Linked DNA regions of Cricetulus griseus. The protein of the gene in region 4 binds, or shares a complex with, the protein of the main gene of each other region. Links are inferred from orthologs where the notes say so. Each region holds a gene or a part of one and is shown on either strand. Other genes may lie near its edges.

What was found. The genes of interacting proteins can lie anywhere in the genome.
Region 1: serine palmitoyltransferase small subunit A (region 4) and Sptlc3 share a complex: the UniProt entries of both Homo sapiens proteins name them as parts of the serine palmitoyltransferase (SPT) complex. The link is inferred for Cricetulus griseus from reciprocal best matches to the Homo sapiens genes SPTSSA and SPTLC3.
Region 2: serine palmitoyltransferase small subunit A (region 4) and Sptlc1 share a complex: the UniProt entries of both Homo sapiens proteins name them as parts of the serine palmitoyltransferase (SPT) complex. The link is inferred for Cricetulus griseus from reciprocal best matches to the Homo sapiens genes SPTSSA and SPTLC1.
Region 3: the proteins of serine palmitoyltransferase small subunit A (region 4) and Ormdl3 are in contact, whole or in part, in a cryo-EM structure (PDB 7CQI), measured with the Homo sapiens proteins. The link is inferred for Cricetulus griseus from reciprocal best matches to the Homo sapiens genes SPTSSA and ORMDL3. Residues at the interface, in NP_612145.2 of Homo sapiens: Ile44, Tyr50, Thr51, Val54, Phe55; in NP_001307730.1 of Homo sapiens: Val36, Leu38, Ser39, Ile40, Pro41, Phe42, Ser44.

The regions. Positions count from the first base shown.
Region 1 is NC_048599.1:39,315,079-39,319,161, reverse strand, and holds the start of Sptlc3 (serine palmitoyltransferase 3), read left to right. Parts: upstream 1-1,283; coding exon 1,284-1,400; intron 1,401-4,083. UniProt on the Homo sapiens protein: Component of the serine palmitoyltransferase multisubunit enzyme (SPT) that catalyzes the initial and rate-limiting step in sphingolipid biosynthesis by condensing L-serine and activated acyl-CoA (most commonly palmitoyl-CoA) to form long-chain bases.
Region 2 is NC_048596.1:272,312,263-272,316,205, reverse strand, and holds the start of Sptlc1 (serine palmitoyltransferase 1), read left to right. Parts: upstream 1-1,143; 5' UTR 1,144-1,149; coding exon 1,150-1,206; intron 1,207-2,936; coding exon 2,937-3,044; intron 3,045-3,683; coding exon 3,684-3,778; intron 3,779-3,943. UniProt on the Homo sapiens protein: Component of the serine palmitoyltransferase multisubunit enzyme (SPT) that catalyzes the initial and rate-limiting step in sphingolipid biosynthesis by condensing L-serine and activated acyl-CoA (most commonly palmitoyl-CoA) to form long-chain bases.
Region 3 is NC_048600.1:111,720,983-111,725,169, forward strand, and holds the start of Ormdl3 (ORM1-like protein 3), read right to left. Parts: upstream 2,801-4,187; 5' UTR 2,545-2,800; intron 1-2,544. UniProt on the Homo sapiens protein: Plays an essential role in the homeostatic regulation of sphingolipid de novo biosynthesis by modulating the activity of the serine palmitoyltransferase (SPT) in response to ceramide levels.
Region 4 is NC_048598.1:147,641,315-147,645,599, reverse strand, and holds the start of serine palmitoyltransferase small subunit A, read right to left. Parts: upstream 2,801-4,285; 5' UTR 2,722-2,800; coding exon 2,610-2,721; intron 1-2,609. UniProt on the Homo sapiens protein: Component of the serine palmitoyltransferase multisubunit enzyme (SPT) that catalyzes the initial and rate-limiting step in sphingolipid biosynthesis by condensing L-serine and activated acyl-CoA (most commonly palmitoyl-CoA) to form long-chain bases.

The DNA.
Region 1 (4,083 bases), on a different chromosome or scaffold from region 4:
ATGCCCCTAGCTCTCCAATACTGGGATCACAGGTCTGTGCCACCATAGCCTAGAGTGTTACTCTTAAGGCCTTTAGTTTCAGATAGGATTTTTTTATATCAACAGAGGAAAATCACAAAGGTAAGCTAAGAAATGCTCAACCAGCTGTAAACTATTGGTATTGACCAATAAACCACAATGCCCTTTGATAACAATTGTTGTATTGAGAGAATAATGGATAATGAGTAAGCCAGAGGTATTTGTGGACTAGGACCCTATGGTCAGCATACGCCTCACAACAAAAGAGTCAGTGGCAAAATCAAGTATCATTTCTTACTACTCTACATATGCCAATTCACCAAATACAGTGTCTCATTTTATAGACAGAAGTACTGAGACATAGAGAAGGTGAATGGTTCCTCTAAGGTCATGTGATTAAAAAATGATGCATTATTGGTAAGAATCAGAATGTTCTGTTTTACTGACTTTGTTTGTCTTGAATTTTTTAGTGGTCTGGGACTCTTCATCATTTTGTATGTTATGTTATATAGTGCATATGTTTATATGTGGGTTGTAAATATTGCTGTTGTGATTTTAACATTCACCAGGGCAAATGATAGAATATTGACCATTTGAGACACATTACTTATACAGTTCAGTGACATTATATATACTCATCCTGTTCAATGACCCATGACCACAAGTGTCTCTTCCACCCCAACTAAAACTTTGTACCTGTTAGACAACAACCCCCCCACCACTGTGCCCCTTCCTCCCCTAGCAGTCACTCATGAAAATTATTTTCTGGCACAAAGAAATCTTAAGTTTTAAGCTTAGCTTTCAGTGAAAAAAAATGTAACTATATGTGAAGGGCAGAGGATGCAAGAAGGAGAAAAACTTGTAACCAGCCCTTCAGTACCATGAACTCTATGAGGGTGCTGTAAAAATCTTTAAATGTCTCTCTACCTCTCAGCCTGCCTCCCCAATATTTGTTCCTGGAATTTTCTGTCCCCTGGTTTCCTCTGCTTCCAAGAGCAGCCAACAGAGCAAATTCCTTTGTAGTTTCAGAAGCAGGTTTGTTGCCATGGAACCCACAATGCCACTGGAGTGGACTAGTAAAAGGTAACCACTAAAGATCCAGCCAATAGATAGGCTGTGGTTCTTCTTCTAGAAAAGCCTGACTGGTAGGATTCCTTTAAAGGCTCAACCCCAAAGTGCTTTATGTCATCACTCCAGCTCCTTGAAAACTGAAGCTTCAGGAGATCTCTGAGAGAGAACCTGCTAGGCTGCAGAGCTTCCCACCAATGGCCAGTCTAAGGGGTAGTGTTGTTACTAATGGAACTCTCCACAATCCCAAGACTCAGCACAGCAAATGGCAAAGCACTGACTGTGTGAAAAATGGAATCGCCAAAGAAGCCCAGGTAAGAAGTGGTCTCCTACATCCTTAATCTGTATGACCCAAGTATTTCCATATTTCTTAGCAACACAGTTTAAGGCAATCTTTACTCCAAGTTTCTCTCATGAGATGTTTTATTGTGTTGGCTCTGCACTTCAGCTAATATTCTGTTACATGTGGCTGCTGCAAAGCTTAGATGTGGCTATCAGGGAATTTCTTCTCTAGATAAGAGAAGATGCATACAGAGTCACATTCTCTAAAATACAGACCTTATAAACTTTTCATTTATTCTCAAGCATTTCAGGGGACAAGTTTGTGAAAGATCAAACTCTTGGACCTACCAAATAACTTGCTACACTCATGATGCTTAAGGAGAAAAAAAGAAGTGATCATAAATCTTGCAGAGATCATGTGGTCGATGACACTTGTCCCTGGTGCACATGAAATGCCTTTCTGGTTGAAAAGAACATTTTTGTGTTTAACAGAGCATTGCCATAGCCCACAGCCTGATTAGAGACTGGAGTCTCTGTTTGAAATTTGACCCCTCCGGTATTCCTTTCTAAAACTCACTTCAGGGGGTGTAGTTTAGGGTGTTCTGCACATGGAAAGCAAAGCAGCCTCTTTAAAACAGATTTTCTTTTTATTTCCATTTCATATTTCCCCTCCTTTTTGGCCTGTGCTATTGCAAAATATTTGAGGGGATGTCCCAGGGAAGAGAAAAATCGAGAAAGCATTCAAAGGAGTGTCTCAAATCTGTGAGGTTCTTGAAGGAAAGCAATTATGCATGTCACATAGCATGCCAGGACTCTCCAGTCTAAGTCACATGGTAAGCTAACCTGCCTTGAGGACAAGCTTGAATAGACAGGCAGTCTCACTGTAGGGAAATAGCAAAGCTTTGTGTAGAACCCCACATAAACTTCCCTTGTTCAGTCATCCTAGTGAGCCAGCCTTCGCCTGAGGGAAATGTTAGGTTGTGCCAAGCACCTAGAACAGAGAAGGTTGGCTGTGGTCAGGCCTCCGTGCGGTGAATCATTTGCATGTCCAGTTGGGAGGTACAAGGGGCACTCAGAAGTCTGGCTTGTATGGTAAAATGGTATGGTCCTCTAAATGTATCCATCTCTTACCAAAAGACATTGGAAAATGTCTACCAGAAATCTCAGGCTGGAACAGGAGGAAGAGAAAGGGCATAAGAGAACTCACAGCACTATACCTCATCCATTAAGATCATTGCTAAGATGCCCCTTGTCCTTGAAATACCTGTTTCACTAGCCACTGTTTGCCTCCTAGGTTACTCTGATTCTTGGGTATCTTATTTGACCACAGATGCCTTCAAAACAAGTTTTCCTTTTCTTTACTTATCTTGATTTCATAACTATATTCTAGTGTTTGACATTGAAAGAGTAAATAGATAGGACAGCCATTCCTATGTAAGGGTAGGACCCCACAGGTACTGTAATTATACAAGACCATAACATCCTTTGCCATGGAAACGTCTTTAAGTGCACAGTGTCACTGCTGTGGCCTTTCCCTAGCAACTCTTTCTGCAAAGCCATCCAGATCCTGTCTGCTAAGATATATTTAGATGTTTCTAAGTTGTAATTGGATTCCACTAAGAGCCTCAGTTATGTATTAATAAATATTTTCCTGAAATAATAAACTCTGCTGAGCTCATAACAGACCTAATTTCTCCCTGTAAAGTATGAATAAAGTTGTCTTTACTATAGTGATCCTCAGGCAAAAGTTTTACCTAATGGGCCTCTTAATAAGATAGGCCTTGACTATTGGCAAAATGAATTGCTGAGAGCTTGTAGATGTCTGAGGTCAGTGATCTTTCAAATGGTTTGCTGGGACTTAGGTTTCATGGGACAGTGCCTCAAACCCTACCAACTCCAGTGAAGATCCCTTTAGCTTTCTTCTACTTCTTTGTACTCATACAATACAGTTACCACTCTCACATACTGGCTATTCTGTAATATTCTGTTGGCAAAAGATTTCCCAGCCCAGCAAGCAAAATGTAAACACCTTTATGCAGTAACTTTGGAATGTCATTTACTTTGTTCCAATGTAGATGCTAGTATGTGGGCTCAGTAGCCCAACCTTACAATTGACCAGGAGCCAGAATATTTCCATTTTGGAAATCATCCAGAGTTTCTTTCTGGAGCTTTTCTGATCCTTAATCCGTTTGCCTTCCTTTCCCCTTTAAGCTCCATATGCCCCCAGGATGAACTGAAACAAACGTGGTTTCACCACTGATGAAGTCTGTTCTTTGTTTACCTCTACAATGTGTCCTGTGTTGCTATATCTACTAGAATATTGTTGTCCAAGACCATTGATCCTCCCTCCTCACAAGCATATCTGTGTAAAGGTTGGAGGACTTTTGATGCCCTTAATTTATTTTTATGAACTCTATTCCTAAACAATTGAAAAGTTTTCAAATTTTTCCTTGGCTTCCTTTTGTTACCAATTCTCACCATCAACATGACTGAAGTGGTCCATATTATCCATGCAGAGCCTGAATAATTCGTTATTTTAGCTTTGTCTGTTTGTGGGGCTCCCAGCAGTGGGACTAGGATCCATCCCTGGTAAATGAGCTGGCTTCTTGAAGCCCATTCACTATGGGATGACTTGCTCAGCCTTGATGCAGAGGGGAGAAGCTTGTTTTTGCCTCAACTTGACTTGACAGGCTTTGTTGACTCCCTATGGGAGGC
Region 2 (3,943 bases), on a different chromosome or scaffold from region 4:
CCTTCCACACAGAAAGCTGAGTGGATGCTGTTAATGTCTGTCTCCTCTCTATCCAGAGGCCGTCCTTTGTCCCTCTGGAACAAATACCCTTCACCTTATCTTCTTACCACCTCATCCTAGCCCATTCTAACACAGACCTCCGTTTTCCTCCTCTTAACAATGACACCTGCAAGGTCATCTGCTGCTGTTTTCTCCTAAGTCAGAAAGCAGCCACTTTAACCTTTCTTCCCCACGTAATAAGGATCTCTGTGGAAAACAAGTGTTTGGGTGTGCGCGGGTTTGGAGGAAGCCCGTCAGAGAGCCCCGGGGGGGGGGGGGGGGTTATTATTATTATTATTATTTTTACTTATTTATTTATTTGCTTTCGTGGGTGCCGGGGATTGAACTCTGTTCCTCTTTCCTGACTGAGCTCTCTCTCCAGCCCTAATTTACTTCTCTTCCCCTTTAAAAATTAAAATAAAATCACTATCCCAATGGTATTTCTGGACAAGTCTCAGGAAATGTAAATTGGTGTGCACATGAAACTTGGCATCTAAATTTTCACAGTAGCTTTTTGACCATACTTCATCATGAGGATAACCACACATACCTACATTATGAAATAGGGCTCCCGACTCGCCCTGAGGAAGAAACTACGTAGATTTCTGTGGGTTGTTTTAATAATGCTGCATGACTGCATTGCTTGTTATTAAAAGGGAAGGGCATATTTCCCTCTTGTTGTTTTAATTGTGTATGTGTGTGTGTATTTTTTGAGACAGGGTCTCACTGTGTCCCTGGCTGGCTTGGTGTTTTACAGGCCATGTGGAGCAGGCTCGCCTGGAACTCTCTGCCTCCCAAATGGGATTAAAGGCCTGCGCCACCTCGCCCGGCCTAATATCATTTATCTTAAAAACCCTGCGCACAGCCGACTGTCAAGAACAAAGGCCACGTACTGATTCTCTCAACAAAAGTCCACGGCGCGACGCCATTCAAATCTCAGGGCTCCGAACCTGCGTCTCCAAGGCCGGGTCCGCGAGCAACCGACTCGCGCGACGAGGCAACGCCCAACTTCCGGCGGCCCCGCCCCCGAGGTTTCGTGACGCCACTAGTCCGCGCCGCGCACTATTTGACGCGTCTGTGACCCGCCTGCCGGAAGCCGGGTGTCTGACCATGGCGATGGCGGCGGAGCAGTGGGTGCTGGTGGAGATGGTGCAGGCGCTGTACGAGGTGCGTCCGTCGCCGGAGCCTCCCGTGAGCCCGCGGCCGGGGCCTAGCGACCTGCGCCCCGGATCCGCGGTGCTTCCCGCCCCCGGGACGGGGGCACGGGGGACGGAGCCTCGGCCGTACTCACGCCGGACTCCGGCGAGCAGCCCTTGGGAGGGGTGCTGAGGACACGCGAGTCCTCGCAACCACGGCTGGAACTGATGGCGAGACCGGGTTTGTGGGCGTGGGCGGCCTCAGATGTGGGGGGATGCCTTTTTCATAAACTGTAAACTTTGCCCGGTCGGGGGAGAGTGGTTCAGAGAAGCAGAATCATTGGGAATTTATGAAAACGGACCAGCCGTTCTTCTGCCCACAATTTCTGTGTTATACGCATAACGTCTTGAAGGATGTTTTAAAGAATACTTGAAGGGTTAGGGTGGCTTCGTTCAGCTGTGTAAGAAAATAGGAATTACGGGTGCCAGCCCTGGGAGAATGCTGGCTTATTGAATAACTGAGCTTCCCTGCTATGTCCTCTAGAACTGGTGTGTCTTCTGCCTCAGGGGCTCTTCAGCACAGCAGTCACTAACGCCACGTGAAAGTAGGCACTGGCAACGAATTTGTAATTGCACTTCAGTGTGAATGTCGGTGGTCACATATGACTAGTGGCTATGTGTTGGACCACACAGACAAAATAGTAGAATAGCCAAGAAACCATCTTACTAAGATGGCTCAACATTTAATAGTACTTACAACTCTTCCAGAGCGTCTGGATTCAATTGCCAGCATCCACATGATGGCTCACAGTCATTTGTAACCTGTTCCGGGGGAATCTTCTGGTCTCTGGGGGGTGCCAGGCACACCTGTGGTAGACAGACATACTTGCAGACAGAATACTTGTACACATGAAAATAAAGTAATAAAAATCATTAAAAATTAAGATATCTTTGTACCTATCAACATGGGACAGGTTGGCATCCTGTGGGTGACACCATAGAAAAGAGAAGGGATTTTCTTTCAGCGTTTATTATTGCCACCTCACCCATACTTAACACTTCCTTGTCTAAGATTTAAGAAGATTTAGCAGGATACACTTCTTGGGGGCTGGAGAGATGGCTCAGAGGTTAAGAGCACTGACTGCTCTTCCAGAGGTCCTGAGTTCAATTCCCAGCAACCACATGGTGGTTCACAACCATCCATTATGAGATCTGGTGCCCTCTTCGGGTGTGCAGATATACATGGAAGCAGAATGTTGTATACATAATAAATAAATAAAATCTTTAAAAAAAAAAGATTTAGCAGGGTATGGAAAATTCAGTAAGGTGCAAAATTTAATTGTGGAAGCTGCTTTCCACATAGTTTTGTTAACTTATCCATGGGCAGTCAAAGGCTATAGAAGTGTGTTTAGGTGTGTGCTGTTATAGTCATTCCCTGCCAATAAAAATGTAAATTATCTGAACAGTGTGATAGAGTTGTTTTTAAGTGTTGGGATTGTGTGTCAGGTCTTACCTCTTTTTCATTTTCATTACTGAAAGGTTTTAAAGCTGAAGTATTAGGGGTTTTTCATGTGATGGAGTAACTGGCAGTTGTTTAGGTGGAGAGGCATGAAGAGTCATTAAGGAAGCCCTGTCAGTAAGGTGTATGTGGGAATAGTGTGGTGGTCAGAGAGGCAGTGCTGTGGTGGGCTGAATGTCCCTGCAGGCTTCCAAGTGACTTCTTTGCTTTCTTTCCTTTGTTTTTGCTTTTCTCCCTTGCAGGCTCCAGCATACCATCTTATTCTGGAGGGGATTCTAATACTTTGGATAATCAGACTGGTTTTCTCTAAAACCTACAAATTGCAAGAGCGTTCTGATCTTACAGCCAAGGTAAAAAATGGCGCTTGTTTTATTCAAGGAATGTGGCAGCTACATCATCTTTCTATAGTGTCCCTGTAGGGCACTAGAACTCATCTCTGCAGGGTATGTTAAAACGTTGAATGTGAAGAGAGCAGGGAGTATGGAATTTCTGAGTAAGCAAGGTTTGAGGAAAGCCACACTGGAGGAGACAGCAACCTGCTAGTAGATGGTTTGAGGGGTGCATGAGCAGCAACTGGATGCCAGTGTCTACACACAGGTTATAGGAGTTGTCCCTGTGGCCTAGAGGAGAGTTCTTCATGTGGTCTTCAGAAAGGGGATTCAGGGTTGGAAACACTCACATCTCAAGTAGAATTTAGATGTGTTATGTGTAGTAAGATGGAAGAAATCCCGGGCATAGAAATAAGATTTTTAAGTTGTCAGGTTACCCAGAAACTACATGGAAAAAAAAAGGTGTGAGCTGTAATAAGGAAAGAGGTGAGGATGGTAAGTACCCAGAACTCAAGAAGGATGGCCTTTGTTCTCCACAACAGCTGGCAGGGGTGTTTCTGTGGCGCATTGTTCATTGTTGCAGCGTTACAGTCAGGCATCACCAGAGATAGTGTGAGATGACTCTGGCTACACCATACTCTGATGTCCTTTCTTCTGTAGGAAAAGGAGGAACTGATTGAAGAGTGGCAGCCAGAACCTCTCGTCCCTCCTGTCTCGAAAAACCATCCTGCTCTCAACTACAACATCGTTTCCGGGTGAGTGGCTTGGCCTTGCTGCGTGAAGTGCTTGACCTGGCTTTAGTTCTGTTGTCAAGCATGTGAAGGATGGTATTCCCTTGCCAATGAAGGCATTTCTTTGAGTAACTGCTGTACTTTTCAATGTGAAACTCTTTCTTCCCCTAACTTGCACTCTGTTGTTCT
Region 3 (4,187 bases), on a different chromosome or scaffold from region 4:
CCACTGGGACTACGTGCTGACAAAGTCTAGGAGGACAAGTCACCAAGAGGTGTCCAGTCCAGACGATAGCAATCAATGTCCAGTCCCCAATCTCACCCCCTATTGTACCCTGAGGCCCTCTTCCTCCTGGGGTGAGGAGAGAGGCCTGCTCTCTCAGAACTCTCACTCAGAATAACCTCTGCTGGCTCTCACTGGAGAGCTGATAGGAGACATCCCCTACTCTAAGCCGCTCCCAAAAGGAGCAAAAGCAGGGAGGACTGGGGACACAGGCAACAGTGGATGAAGTACTTTGGGGCTACTGTTCCCACCACCCCTATTTCTCTAATCCTGGATTTCCTCAAGCCCAGCCCCAGGAGAACTGACAGGGCAGGGAGAAGGGGGAAGAGAAAAAAGCAGGCCAGGGATGGCCTTTGCTCAGACCTACAAACATTTCGACACAAAATGACCCATCCATTGGGGAATTTTAGCCATTTGGCATCTGCTCAGGCTAAAACTCTTGGGGCATCACTATTAGGCCGCCAAACCAGCAGAGCCCTTTACCCCACCAGAGAGAGAAGAGAACAGATCAGAGCACACAGCCAATATCTATAGTTCCCACAGGTGGGATGTGGTACCCATATCAGCCTACTCCTCCCAAGGATACAAAACTACCTGTGGCCTCCCTCCTACCTCCTCCCTTCTTGGCTCCACCTGATCTCACCTCCCTTCCTAGCATGTTTGTGGGTGTGAATTAACAACAGCCTTTGCTTGTCTAGCTCCAGTGGTAGAAGCTCTACAGCATAAGGAACCAAAACGGCTGCCCTCGATGCCCAGAAAACAATGGTAGCAGTAGCCACAGGGGAGAAGAATGGTCTGTCCCTTTTCCCAGGAGCCTGGCTCTCTCCAGATTTCTGAGGGACCACTGACTAACCAGCAGGAGGTGGATACAGAAGGCATCGGTATGCTGGGTTTACCTACCTAGCTTAGGGTCCTGCCTGCTAAAGACCCCGAGGTCATTCCTGTGCTTAACAACTCCACTTTTTCAAGATGTACAGAAAGGAATGGCAGATATAGTCTGGAGGTGCCAGACCAGCTACCTCATCCCGCTACAACCACTTCTCCCCCAGACTCAGATGCTATCTCACCTAGCTAGGATTCCAGCCAAGTCTCCTCCACAGGAGCCAGAATTCCCTCAGATAAGTTCCTTACTTAAGTATAATGGAAGCAAGTTTCCTCTTCTCAGATACCTCGGGAAATAGAACCCACAGCAGTTGCCCAACAAACAGATCCATGAGTTGGCCTAGTGTGCATCCTGGTGGAGGGAGGTCACACTCCTGGGACCAAACCCCTGGCCCATTAAGATGGATAATTGGTCCCAACAGAAACCCAAGGAACTAGAAAACCAGTTGTTTACCTTCCCCCAACCTTAGGGCTCCAGTTACCCTAACACAGCCCCTGGGACAGCTGCTGTGCAACAGCGTCCACGTGACATGTGAAATCTCTGGAAGATGGTCAAGGGAGGAAAAAGAGCTGCTTTACCAGAAACTGCTGTCTCCTCCCCGAAGCCAGACAGAACCCCCTCACTCTCTGTTCAGGAGTGCCAACAGTCTGTCTGAATCCTAGGATTTCAAGACCCTTCACCCTTTTCTGGCTCAACAGGGCATTTCACAAAGCCTAGTGGACCCCGTGGGAATCGCCTTCCTGAAGCCTGAATGCCAGATGCCCTTGAAACCAGGAGACCCCTTGCAGCCTCTCCCACCACGCACTCCCAAAAAGACTGGGAGCCAGAAAGTACTTCTGAGACTTTCCTGTGGCTATGTGAACATGTCACTTCCATTAGTAAACAATTGACCTTTCTCCTATAAGTGAAGAAACACGAGACTGGCAGAAAGATCTGGTGCAGCCAGACTGAAAACTTCTGCAGCCACAGCTGGCAGGTGGCTGCCAGCACCAGATCCTGATGCTGTTTCATAACCTGCTTCAAATCAGAGCCCGAAGCAACTCTCTTCTGTGAACCACTTTTTTGCTATAGATCTTTTCCCTGTCCCGTCCAGGCCCAGCCAGGCTGTCAAACACTCTAGCCATCCGGTAAGCACTTTCCATTCCCTCCCCGGCTTAAGGCTGGCCCTTTACACAGCAAACTTGTTCCCAAGGGGTCCCAACAGAGAATTCATGCAGTACACACAACACGTCGGTCTCTTCACTCGGCCCACCCTCAACTGCAGGACCATGGTTGTGCTCGCTGGTCCAGACTCCAGGACTCAGTAGAGAGGAGGGGTGGAAAGAAAGCGAAGCCCCACTAATCAGGAGCGAGGAAACTCCTTCCATGGGGTCTCCCGCTCTGCTCCGCAGCCTGGTTGGTACCTCGCACTAGGAATCTGGCCGGGTTCGGGGCCCAACCCCCATCTCCAAGCATTCACTCAGCCCGGGAGGCAGCAAACCCTTTATCCCTCCAAGTCCAGCCGTTCCCTCCTCCCACCCCCAGCTGAAGCGCTCCTCCCGGACACCCCACCCCCGGCCTCCTGCTCCCACTTTCCTTGGCGCTCCTTCGCCTGATGCACTCACTCTCTCCACCCCCAGCCACTCAGCTCAGGTCTCCTCCTGCGCGGACGCCTCCTCAGCAGCAGCCTTCTCTCGCGCCTCTCCTACCCCTGGAGCCTTCGGGCTTCACCACTCCGAGGCCGACCGTAAGGACCCACCGCGCGGGGCCGGAGGTCGAGGGCCCGGGAGAGGAGCCCGAGAACCCGGGCCGCGGCCACTCCAGCAGCTGTAACAAACCAGCGGCGGTAGCCACCCCGCTGGCAGCTCTGGCCGAATCAGCTCCCTGAGCCGGGCCTCGTGACGTCACTGCCACGCGCCTAAACACGTTGTGCCTCTTGGGAAGTGTAGTTTCTACGCTGCCTCGTCACCCGCCCTCCCGGAGCCTCCTGGGAGTTGTAGGCTTTCCCCTGGGCTACCTCTCCCAGCTCGCTGCGAGCTTCTGAGCACGCACGGCAGAACGTCTCTCTCCCTGACGCAATAGTGAGATCAGGTGAAGTCTCTTTGGTGCGTAACAATCCCAGCTTTTGCATCTGCGCCCTTTAAGACATGCACAAGCGGTTTGCCCAAGCTCTCGTTTTTTTTAGACCAAGAGACTCAGAGTTTTAAGTAACTTGCAATAAGACCCTGCTGAGATAGTCTGACCACAAGTGCAGAGTTTTTTTTTCCACTAAACGTCGCAGACTCTAGAAGCCGAGAAGCACAGCCCTTTGTCCTGATGGAGCCCCTCCCACCTGTCTCCACTAGGGATCACATTTTCAGAACCTTGGTTGGGGTACTTGTCTGTAGAGACGGGAGGCTATGGGCATCATTGGTACACCTGGTCGCTACATTTAATCCTTGCTGGCGTGGGTCTGGCCGCATCCTGGATCTCCCCGCGTCGGGTTTCATCTGGGATGTGTGTCATAGGAAAAGTCCTTACGAACAGTAAGGAGCTTTGAGTCTGTGTCTCGGGTTAGCGTGTGTGGCTTTTGGTAATGTGCCTCTGGTATACAACTTTCATGTCTTGAAGCTCCAAAGAGAAGGGCACAGATTTTACTGCTAAGTACATATAGTGCAGGTATGCCTTTATTGGCAGTGTAATCCTGAGCAAATGACTCGTATTAATCTCAATTCCACAGCTGTGAAAACCTACCTCCAAGGGTGTTTTGATGTTTCAAAAGAATGTAATATAAAGCACCTATTACATTGTAGGAACTGAACTAAATAGGTCTTAAGCTCTTCTGGGCCACTCCCACTGTCCGTGTCAACAAGAAGGCCTCCTTTCGGTTGTTTCCACTTCCCCGCCCATCTTCTAAGTCCCGTGCCCTTAAGTCCTGGCACGGCTGGAATGACAGGATCCGATGTTAATAGATGTCAACCGGCAGGCTGTAAATGCACGATGAACCGAGCGTGCAGAGACAGGAAGGAGAAGGCCTGCCCAACTACCTGGAGAGCTTTTTCCTTAGACCCACCCATCCTCTGGGAGCTACCAGGAAATAGTTGTCTCAAGGCTGAAGTGGTAGCCCTGGGAGCAAGTTGTGAGTGTACATTTGACCTTCGCAAAGCAGAATTAGGCAGCTTCTCAAGTGTTCCCAGAGTCAGAGGCCCTTTAGATCCTGACATCTAAGAAATGATCCTAGCTGCTGAAAAAGCCTCACAGAGACCTGCTCAGCATTAGAGTCAAAACA
Region 4 (4,285 bases):
TTGGGGAGAGGAGGGGGCATGACTCCACACATAGAACCTCTAACACAGCAAAGAAGGGATAATAACTTAGGTTTTACTTTCATTCAGATAACAGACATCTGGCACAACCCCAAGCCATCTATTTACTCACCCAAAGGAAAACAGGAGTGTTTATTTTAACACAATGTTTTTTGGTTGGTTTGGTTTTGTGGTTTGGGGGGGACAGGGTTTTATGAAGCCAAGGCTAGCTTCAAACTCACCATGTAGCTGAAGCTAGCCCTGAAGTTCTGATGCTCCTGCGGTTAGCTACCTCCCCTAGTTCTAGGACTGCAGGCATGCACCACTGCATCTAGCTATGGACACAATAATTTGAACAGAAGGAAAAAAAAAAAAAGGCAGCTTTTTTTTTCTGATAGAAATTAAAGCTGATTTTTTTTTTCCTATTGGCTTCACCGTGCAGTCTGGTTTTGCAGTTATGCAATGAACATTTTCTATGAATTGTAAGAAAATCATTTTAACAAAAGTATACAGTTAAAAAAGTAACAAAAAATAATTTTTGTTAAAACAATTTTAACAAAAGTATTAAAATATATGTATAAATAAATTCTTTCTAGCTATCTACAAGACTCCTATGTCAACATAAATGAGCAAGGGAATCCATCATCCACCTTTTTTTCCTTTGAAGGGTTACATACACCAACTGTCTGAAGACCACTACACTATGTGATCTCGAATAATGATGCTGTTGCTACAGCTGCTGTTTTTGGAGACAGGGTTCACTAAGATTCTGTTTCATCCAGTTAGCCCTCCCTGGTACTAGGAAAGAGCATCCATTCCTGCAGAAGGAAAATCCAAAGGTAACAGCAGAAAATACACAACAGCAAACATGGTGGCCCACACCATACCAGCACTCAAAAGGCTAAGAGAGGAGGATGACTTTGAGTTTGAGGCAAGTTTGGCCACATAGCTTGGCCAAACACAAGCTTGGATGCATAGCTAGATCCAATTAGTCAAAAACACCAAAACCAAAATCTACTGAGGTTTCCCTTCATAATTTCTCTGTCTTCAAAACAGGACACTATTTCTACTAAAACATAGCACAGAAAAATCTTAATATTGTTGCCACTGTAGTATTTATCCATAAACCAACAAATGTTTTGACGTATACATGTCCACACTAAGCTTTACCATCAACCTCTGACTTAAAGAGTTTCAAACTTTACCCCATTTTCTTTTCTTTTCTTTCTTTCTTTTCTTTCTTTCCTTCCTTCCTTCCTTTGAGTTTTGCTATGTAACCCTGGTTTGCCTGGTCCTTGGCTATGTATTATGTAGCCCAGGCTGCCTTGAACTCCCAGCAACCCTCTTGAACGTTGCAATCAGTTATGAACCACCACATTAGGCTTTCATTATTGTTATTTTGACATTGTTTAATTTCCAGTCAAGATTACCTGCTACTATTGAGAAGCTCCAATAAAACATGTATTTAAATGTACATTTTACCTGACCTACAAAATCCAGAGACAGAACTAAAGCTACAAAACACACAATACAGAAAATCAGCAACTTTATATTCCAAACCCCCAAATATGCATTCTGGTTATTAAATTCTAGGTTAGAAAAGAAATACCAATGGTAATAAAATGTCTTGCAAGCAGCTAAAATTTTTCAAGAGTCAGCTCCAAACAACTTCATGCTACTTCAACACCGGCACCCTTGATAAAAGGCAGAGCCAGCGCTACCTCAGTCATCAGAATGCAACAGTGCATGTGTGAAGTTGTTCCTAAGGAAGCTAAACCACATCAGAAAGCTGAGCCTTGACGAAATGAACACGTGATGTGAAATAATTCAGATTTTATTAAGGAGAGGGGACTGGAAGAAAGAAAGAATGCATTGTTAGTATTTAGTCCACAGGAATAATATCAGAGGATATCAAAATAGACATTGGGAGCCAACAAACATCCCAGACATCACAACCTTGAGCTGTTCATTGGGGCTGTCAAAATTAGGTGAGGTAAGGTATACACGAAATGCTCAGCAAAGTCGTCACTCAACAGTTCTTATTTATAAACTACACAACAAAGCACAGGTTGAAACCCCACCTACAACTAACCACAAATCTGTCCCGGGCACAGTTTGTATTTACGATGCAAAGAAATCATAAATAAATCCCACTTTCTAAACTGCCATCTTGAAGATCAAAAAGGCCTGCCAGGAACTTATAAACTGCTTTCCAAAACTGTATGAGAGTGTCACGACCACGTCCTCACAACCTGGTGAACTGGTTAGAGTTCTGTAGCTCCAAAGCCAATCAAATCAGGAATAGCTAAAGGGTCAAAGACGCCCAAGCCTGGAGCGATTTGCTCAACCAGCATCATCCCTGCCTCCTACCAGGGGACTGAAGCAAAAGGCAGGCGCGGCCGAAGCGGGGCAGGAAGCACCAGGGGAGACGTCGCCCTCCGGACGGCCTGCAGAAATCAGGATGCCACCACCTTGGGCAGGGGAATTGCGCCCTACACCCGGATCTCCGCGGTTTCACCTCCCCTGGCCCTAAGACCCCCGCCCCACTCCACCCCCACCCCCCAGCGCGCGTGCCCCTCCAAGCCCCGGCCAGGCCAGGCAACACAGGATACTGAACACGGTCCGCTCCCAGGGTTCCAGCATGTAGAGCGCCGTGACCAGCAGGTACTGGTAGTAGAACCAGGACATCTGCTTCCAGGCCCGCGCCAGCCCCATGCCCGCCATGCGCCTCCCGCGATGCAGCAGCGTCAGGCCGGCCGGCGGCCCGCTCACCTCCTAAAGCCCCAGGCCTCGGGGCCCGCCCGCCACCACCCTGCGCCCATTGGCCCTGCTGGCTCCGCGCGTCACCGTGTACGCCCAGCCCCGCGCGCACCCCGAGCGGCCACCGCCGGTCCCGCCTGACCGGCGCTTATTGGTCAGGAAGCCACCTCGGTGCTCGCGCCCCGCCCCGTGCCTCGCCCCCGGTGCGCTCTCCAGCCGGAGGAAACGGTCTGGGTTTAAGCGCCTGTTCTGCATCCCCACGCGCCCGCATGGCGGTTGCGAGACCGGTTTCGGTGTCCACTGGTGTCCAGTCGAGGGCATGCCCTTTCGAACCAGGTTCCTTCAGACCAGCCCAGAAGGGTTTCTTCCTTTAGGAACAAGTGTGTAGAATATCTCTCTTCTGCCTCTGGGCCAGGGGGTTACAAGGCTGGGTAAGAATGCAACCATGGAGTCAGGCATGCAAATAAAGTGTCCTTGGACTGAGAAAATGAAGGATCAAAGAGAACGTGGTTACCAAATGTCACCCAGCCAAGGAGGTATTGCAAACTGTAAAAGTGACAGGTACATCAGTTCTTCTCTTCACCCAGGCACATGCATGAAAACACACCTATCTAGGCCTTGTAACCGCCCCCCAAGTACTCCTTAACCTAAAGACAAGAGAACTGACCATAAACAGCTGCCCATTTTTGGTGGCTGCACTTAAGAAACAGCCAAGTAGATCAGGATCAAGGGAAGTGAACTTAAGAACTTAATGTAGTGGGTTCTTCAGACAGCTTGAGGTCAGTGTGGGAGCTGTCTCCTAGAGATGCACTCCTAAGATTTTTCTACCAGCAACAATACCAGTTGTATTCCACTCTTCTGGAAGTCCATGCACTGTCTGCATATGAAATGACATAATTAAATGATCTGCAATTTACATGTTTAAAAGTTTTGAGCCTGCTGCTTTAAGCTTTAAAACTTTGAAGTCTGACAACTATTAACTTAAAAATACCAAGTGTTCTTTATGAGCAAAGACCTTAAAAACAGTAATAGACTTAAATCTATCCATAAAATACTTAGTACTGCTAGAGAAGGCAGGCAGGTAGACTACAGTGAAGTGTGATTAAAGGATATCTGTGTTCTCTGTATTAGATTGGAAGGGTAAAGGTTTCTGGGAAATAGTTCTTGAGCTAACTGCTGGAGAAGTACTAATAGAAGAAACATGGGTGATAGATGTTTCACAGAAAAATAATACCTCTACATGAAAGTCTAGTGTTTGATTCCAGGACTAAGGAACTGTACTGGATGGTTTTGTATGTCCACTTGATACAAGCTAGAGTCATCAGAGAGGAAGGAGCCTCAGTTGAGGAAATGCTTCCATGAGATCCAGCTTTAAGGCATTTTCTCAATTAGTGATCAACCGGGGAGGGTCCAGCACATTGCCTGTGGTGTCGTCTCTGGGCTGGTGGTCCTAGGTTCTATAAGAAGATAGACTAAGCCAGTCATGGGACACAAAGTAGTAAGCAGCACCCCTCCATGGCCTCTGCAT